Linked DNA regions of Nothobranchius furzeri. The protein of the gene in region 1 purifies or fractionates together with the protein of each later gene. This does not show direct contact. Links are inferred from orthologs where the notes say so. Each region holds a gene or a part of one and is shown in the gene's direction. Other genes may lie near its edges.

What was found. Proteins that work in one complex are often made in the same cells at the same time.
Region 2: the proteins of calpain-2 catalytic subunit (region 1) and afg2b purify together in Homo sapiens (co-immunoprecipitation; 3 studies listed by BioGRID and IntAct, with this or other methods). This does not show direct contact. The link is inferred for Nothobranchius furzeri from reciprocal best matches to the Homo sapiens genes CAPN2 and AFG2B.

Annotation. Positions count from the first base shown.
Region 1 is NC_091746.1:29,426,381-29,430,031, forward strand, and holds part of calpain-2 catalytic subunit, read left to right. Parts: intron 1-2,992; coding exon 2,993-3,111; intron 3,112-3,306; coding exon 3,307-3,440; intron 3,441-3,520; coding exon 3,521-3,651. UniProt on the Homo sapiens protein: Calcium-regulated non-lysosomal thiol-protease which catalyzes limited proteolysis of substrates involved in cytoskeletal remodeling and signal transduction. Proteolytically cleaves MYOC at 'Arg-226'.
Region 2 is NC_091749.1:43,208,160-43,211,910, forward strand, and holds the start of afg2b (ATPase family gene 2 protein homolog B), read left to right. Parts: upstream 1-1,339; 5' UTR 1,340-1,475; coding exon 1,476-2,069; intron 2,070-2,132; coding exon 2,133-2,318; intron 2,319-2,665; coding exon 2,666-2,950; intron 2,951-3,029; coding exon 3,030-3,215; intron 3,216-3,310; coding exon 3,311-3,469; intron 3,470-3,543; coding exon 3,544-3,751. UniProt on the Homo sapiens protein: ATP-dependent chaperone part of the 55LCC heterohexameric ATPase complex which is chromatin-associated and promotes replisome proteostasis to maintain replication fork progression and genome stability.

The DNA of each region.
Region 1 (3,651 bases):
TCATGCCGACAGAACCCACATCAGACATCTGACTCCCTCTCTGTGGAACTTTGTGCTAAAGTTTGTTTTCAGTTGTTGGAGGATTTTTGGCTGCAGAGTGAGACCTCCTCCTGCAACACAGCATCTCTGCATGGTTGTGGTTTTCAGGACCAGTTCAGACACGGTTCCTCGTGTGGTCCAGATTCCACCTCTGTAAGGCCCTGTAGATCAGATCTACTAAAGCCTGGCCATGGAGGGCCTCTACCTGCATGTGTCAGCTGTTGTCCTGCTCCAACACACCTGAGTTAAGAGTCACTTCTTCAGAGAATGTTTACTAAAACTCTACGTAAGCTAAGCAACAAAAGTACTTATGCAAAGTAATGTTCAGACCTTTAAAACATGCAGTTCCTGCTTTTTGAATCACACTTTTCCTAGAAACGTGCTGACTGGTGGACACGTGCGTGTGAGGATCTACAAGTCTGTTAATGTGGCTAAAAGTAGCTCAAATTCACCATGTCACCATCTTACCAGCTCTAGTTTCCCAATCTCTAAAATGTGCTTACGTAACGCAAGAGTCGTGTTTTTTATTTAAATCACAGAATGCAACTTTCACAGTTTCCAGAACCAATTTTGTTTGTAAAGAAGCTTTATTAACCAGGTGTGTTTACTAACCAGGTGTGTTTACTAACCAGGTGTGTTTATTAACCAGGTGTGTTTACTAACCAGGTGTGTTTATTAACCAGGTGTGTTTACTAACCAGGTGTGTTTATTAACCAGGTGTGTTTACTAACCAGGTGTGTTTATTAACCAGGTGTGTTTACTAACCAGGTGTGTTTATTAACCAGGTGTGTTTACTAACCAGGTGTGTTTATTAACCAGGTGTGTTTATTAACCAGGTGTGTTTACTAACCAGGTGTGTTGGTAAAGGTAAGATAGAAAACATGCAGGTAGCCAACCCTCAGGTCCAGAATTAAATAGCCATGAACTAGACCAGCGGTAGACAACCCTGGTCCTGCTTGCTTTCCAACTATCTTTGTTGTTCCTGCTGTTGTTACCTGGATCAGGTGTGTTCAGCCAATTAGAAGCTGCAAGTTCATGCGTGGCTGGAACACATGCAGCTCTCTAGGACCAGGGTTGCCTATCCCTGAACTAGACTATAGGGGCATTAGAATATAGGGATCACTAGACTGTCGGGGCAACAGAGCAGTGCTCCTCACTCCTGGCCCTGGAGGGCATGTATTCAGCGTGTTCTAGTTGTAGCCCTGCATCAACACACTGGATTTCAACCAGCAGAGCCCGATGAGCTGCTGAACAGGTGCTGAACAGGTCATTCACTGAATAAAGTGTGTTGGAGCAGAGAAACAACTAAAATGTGCTGAATACCAGCCCTCCAGGACCAGGATTGAGAACCACAGCCCAGGACTATAGGATAGTGATCCCCAACTCTTTTCCCCGAGGCCCAGTATCCAGCGTGTTTTAATTGTTTCCCTAATCCAGCACACTTGATTCACCTGTTCAGCAGCCCATCACGCTCTGCCGAAACCTGTTCATTACCTGCTAATTGAAATCAGGTGTGTTGAAGCCGGGAAAACAGTGAAACATGCTGGATGCCGGCCCTCGCAGAAGGGAGTTGGGTATCACTGATGTAGGGGCATTAGATGGTGTTAGATAAAAACTGATATTATTATTATTATTATTATTATTATTGAACTAATGTTAATGTCTTGACTGTTAAACATCTGGTGTTTTATTGAACGTAGCTTCATCCTTTTCATTCTGTCGATGGATACCAGGCTCCAGTAGGTCTTACAGGGAGGAGTGGATTTTACGAGGAGGATGACCTTGCCTCGGCACCGACCTTTCAGTAAAACTCCCTTGAGAAAAGTCTAGCAAGGGCCCTGTCCACATGTAGCCGGGGATCTGCCAAATCGTAGATATTTTTCTACGCTTTGGCCTGTCATCCACACGAAAACGGATCTTTTTCACACGAAAACGGAGTTTTTTAAAAACTCCGGCCAAAGTGAAGATCTGCGTTTTCTCCGTTTTGGGTGTCTGTGTGTGGACGGACAAAACCAGAGTTTTAAGGTCCGCAACGTCACTTTCCGCGACAAAAAACTGCTGACATCACGTGTGCGACCTGTGTTTACACTAGCCGACATCATGGATGCCCTCAGAGCTGCGCTCGCTTTATCAATTGTCCAAGCGCTTTCTGCTTGTTTGTTTTTGCAAGCGGAATTACTGCTCCTTGCGGAAGACCACAGACGAAGGACGAGGTTAAGAACGGGGGAAGTACTGCCGCCTACAGGTCTGGCATGTCCTTAACAACGTATTTATCCGGGTACGTGTGGACAGAGTTTTTGTTTAAACGAGGTGGTGTGGATGCAAGTTTTTGGAGGGGCGGATATTCGTTTTTAACAAACCCGGCTACGTGTGGACTAGGCCTTAGGGTGCACCTGGAGAAAGTTTAGACTCCCTTTTACAGCTTTATGCCTGAGAGTCTAAGGAATGTCAAAATGTGTGTGTGTGTGTGTGTGCTTAATAAATGCTGCCGGAAGCCTGATGAGAGTGAACTGAGACCCGAGCTTGGTGTGTATTCATTTCCTCTCCACTTTGCAAAGTCTAAATTGATTGTTTATGATTGGTATTGGTGTTGATTGATTGATTGATTACTATAACCCCTGTGCTTTAAACTTTCCCTGAGGTAATCTTGGATCAGGGGCGTGTCCAGGGAGTGGCCTGGGGTAGCACATGCCACCCTTGGAATCTGATTGGCCACCCCAGGTGCCACCACACTAATTTACCTTTAAATAGGCTTTTCATTGTCCACAAAGGCTTGGGGGTGAAGCAAAAAAAAAGCATAACCATTGGTGCCACCCATGCACAAAGTTGTGCCTCACCTGGGCCACCCCATTTTAAAAGATCTGGACACGCCACTGTCTTGGATTGATAAAATTACCCAACAGATGGTAGGAGGAAGATGAAACCCAGAGTAACAGTGGTTCATGTTCTCCAGGTGACTGCTGGCTGCTGGCTGCCATCGCTTCTCTGACCTTGAACGAGTTTGTGATGGCCCGAGTCGTTCCCCAGGACCAGAGCTTTGGTCAGAACTACGCAGGAATCTTTCACTTCCAGGTAACGGGTGTTCTAGCACTCATCATTCCTACATGTGACATCAGTCAGTTAATCAAGAACCCCTAACAGATATCATTTAGGTGTTACCAATCATGTGGCCTTTTTGGCATTGGGTGCCTGATCGATGCAGTATTTAACGGTTCTATCTGTAGGACGTGTGTGTGGTGTTTCAGGTTTCTGTCTGTTCGTCTGCAGTTCTGGCAGTTTGGGGAGTGGGTGGACGTGGTAATCGATGACCGTCTGCCGGTCAAAGACGGAGAGTTGTTGTTCGTCCACTCAGCAGAGGGGAGGGAGTTCTGGAGCGCCCTGCTGGAGAAAGCCTACGCTAAGTGAGAACGTCGTGCAGAACCTTCCAACAACTTTACTCCTAACTAGGTTTGGGCTGTGACATGGTGCCATGTGTTTGCAGAGTTAATGGCTGCTATGAGGCGCTGTCCGGCGGTTCCACCACTGAGGGATTTGAGGATTTCACTGGAGGCATTGCTGAGAACTTTGATCTGAGACAACCACCATCAAACTTGTTTCAGGTCATCAAGAAGG
Region 2 (3,751 bases), on another chromosome or scaffold:
AAACTGTGGCTTTTGGTCATGACACCTTGTTTGTAAATGTAAGTATGTAAATATGTACATATATATATATATATATATATATATATATATATATATATATATATATATATATATATATATATATATATATATATATATATATATATTCAGCAAAACGGTAATTTTACATGAGAAATGCCTGAGACATTGCATTTGTATGCAAAAAAAACTTGCACTTAACTGTTGTTTGCTATATTAGACATGCATTTTTTGTGTTTTACTCACACCCAATAGTTTTATTCTGAGTGCTGAAAAAGGTTCGTTACAAATGTTCGTCGTTTTCACTGCAATAAATATGTCATTTTATTCAACTCGGATTTTTATTTTATTTTGTTTACTTTCAGGTTCAGTGAGCTAATACAGTATGACAAAATGAAGAAATGACTAAATGCACATAGACGAGGTTTTGCTGAAAAGAATGATACCAAACAAGGCATTAACAGTAAAATATGGTTTAATTTAAAGGTGAACACTAAAACTTGTCAAAACGGCTACCAGTAGTCACACCACCGACAGAGGGTTAAACACCAGAAACGGACTTGATTATTCTGCATTATCCTGTAACTTTGGGAGTTGTGAAGCATTTACCTAATGAGTTTATTGAAACGCATATGCTGTAGTTTTTTGTCATCTTGACCACGTTTGAACTTGTCCAGCTCTAAAACTCCAACATTTAAACACTTTAAACTGGACTAGATTATAATGTTAGGGCAAATGAATTTGTAACAACAGTTCTACACCAACTGCAGACAAATAACAGAATTAAAAAGAAGCCCGTGTGGGGCCAAATTGATTAAATCATAACCAAGAAGCTTTAAAACAATAACATATTTAAGTCAAGGTCAAAAGCAAACAAACTTTTATTTCGGGATCATATATGTAAGTCTTACTTGAGAGCAGTCGGTGCCTCCCCAGTCATGAACCTCACCGCACGTCACTGAATTCAAATGATTTTCTATTTCCTGTCTCTTTATTCAGCTCTAATTTTAAAACCAAAGTTTCTTCAGTAGAATCTCATTCACCACTGGTGATAATTTGGCACGCACGTGTAAAATGAGTGCTCCTCAGTCTTTTCATTCAAATAAAAGAGTTGTAATCTATTAACTTGTTTCACAAAATATAGTGTCCATAAATTCCCAAATTCACCTGACACGGTCAAAAACTGTCTCAGTCCATCACGCCTGAGGCACCTGAGGACTGGACAATAGAAATGTTTCTAAACCGATATAAACACTTGTCTACGTCAGTGGGCGTGACTTTCTATTTCACTCTACTGCGCAGCCGCAGACTCAAACCCACGTTTCCACTGCGCAGACTCAGTTCCTCAGTTTTTCATGCAGACTGAGCAGGAATGACGGCGGCTGTAAACAGGATAATCTACTGAAAACCACAAAGTCTTGTTCTAATCTTTACCCGCTTCATGTTGTTGGCGGACGATGCAGCGTGTGAAGCTTCTGCTGCCGGACCCCGCTGACCGGGGCTCTCAGAGGTGCCGGCTGGGTCCGGGCTTGATGTCGGCGCTAAGCCTGAGACTAGGCTCTCCTCTGCTGGTGTCTGTTCCCGGGGGGAGCTGCCTCTGTACCGCCTGGCCCCGTTCGGACCTGGCGGAGGGGTTCCTGCAGATGGACCTGAAGTGTATCGCTCCCACTTTGATCTCTCAGCCTCCCGTGCACCTGAGTCTGGAGCCACGCCATCTCACACCTGTGTCCTGCCCTAAACTGAGGGGAGTTAAGGTAACGGTGGTGGTGCAGAGCGCTGGCTTTAGGAAGCACACACCCGCTTGGGTTGTTCATGAGCTCGTGAAGGACATGCTGAAGGGTGTTTATGTTCACAAGCAGTATGTGGTAAACATGGAGGACTATGATACAGAGATCAGGTTTGTTGTTATAGACGGAATCAGACCGGACTCTGACAGTGCAGGTATGGTTACCTCAAAAACAGCTGTGGAGATATCCGGGATCCAGACTCTCAGGCATTACAAGAGCCAGCTACTGGACCAGCACACGCCCCCACTGGGAGGACTGGACGAGGTCAGCTGTTTGAGCATAACTTACTATTATAGTGATAAAAGCTGAAACCGTTTTCCTTTGTAGGTGAGTGCTTCTCTGAGAGAGATGCTGCAGCTGCCCCTGATGTACCCAAACACCCTCAGCTCCCTGGGGGTGTCCTGCCCCAGGGGCGTTCTGCTGATCGGGCCTCCTGGAGTCGGCAAAACCCTGTTGGTCCACAAGGTGGTTGGGGAGGTGGGAGCCAGCCTGGTGGTGGTCCGAGGGCCAGAGGTACTACTGTGTGTTTGCACTGATATGGATGAGTAGCAAAACAATAAAACACTGTCAGGAAGTCATATTTTACACACAGGAAATATATAAGTTTACTGAAATGGTCAAGAATTTAAATAAAGCTACATGACAGAAGAAAAGTCAAAGAGGCAAATACATTTTTTTCAGATGCCATTCTGTTGCGCAAACTATTAATGTTGACGGCTTATACAGACTTTTATACTATACTTTTATACTAGAGACAAAACAAACAGCAACGTTTAACCCAGCAGAAAGGTTATTTAGTGCAGATTGAAATGGCTGTTCTCATTTACATCTGATTTATTGGTGGTGAACTGTTCTTCCAGGTGGTAGGATCTCGACCGGGCGAGAGCGAGGAGACGCTGCGGGCTGTGTTTGAGCGTGCTCGATCAGCAGCAGAAGAGGGTCCCTGTGTGCTCTTCTTAGATGAGCTGGACTCGTTGTTTCCCAGGAGAACCGGCTCGTCTGCACCAGAGAACCGGCTGGTGGCTCAGCTGCTTACACTGATGGATGGGATGAATCGGTCTGACCGCTTCCTCATCGTAGGAGCCACTAATCGCCCTGACAGTTTGGACCCAGCGCTGCGGAGGCCTGGGAGATTTGACCGAGAGGTACTTTTTAAATGTGTTTATCAGAGTGAATTAGAAACAGAATAAAGCTTTGAGCTGTGAGTGTTTGTCTCTCCTCCAGGTCATTATTGGTGCTCCAACCGTGCAGCAGAGAAAGGCCATCCTGACCGTCCTGTGTGAGAGGATGCCTGTGTGTCCCAGGCTCAACATGACAGAACTTGCACAAATCACCACAGGGTACGTTGGGGCCGACCTGAGTGCTCTGTGCAGGGAGGCGGCCATGCACGCTTTAAGGCAAAAAGTGAAGGTAAACTGGCACTGAAGCAGAACAATGACATTTGAACTGTTTCTGTGAATTCTCTACATGCATCTTAAGCTTCGTTGTTGTTGTTATGTCTGCAGGGTTCAGGGAAGCAGGAGGTGGAGATGAAACACTTCCTGGAGGCTCTGAAGTCCGTGCATCCCTCCAGCTTGAGGAGCAGCCTTGGCCGGACGGAGCTGTCCTCCGTGTTGTGGGAGCACATAGGAGGCCTGGATCAGGTCAAAGTCAAACTAAGACAGGTAGCTAAATGGGGGGGGGGGGGGTGACTGAAACTATAACACTCAAAACCTCCTCTCCATATTGCCTTTTAAAGAGCATTGAGTGGCCCATGAGGTACCCCGAGGCGTTTGTGCGTCTAGGACTGAGTCGGCCCCATGGCGTTCTGCTTTATGGACCGCCAGGATGTGCAAAGACGACGCTGGTGAAAGCTGCCGCCTCCTTCTCCCACTGTGCCTTCCTGTCTGTCAGCGGGGCTGACCTGTACTCCTCTTATGTCGGAGACTCAGAAAAAGCTTTAGCTC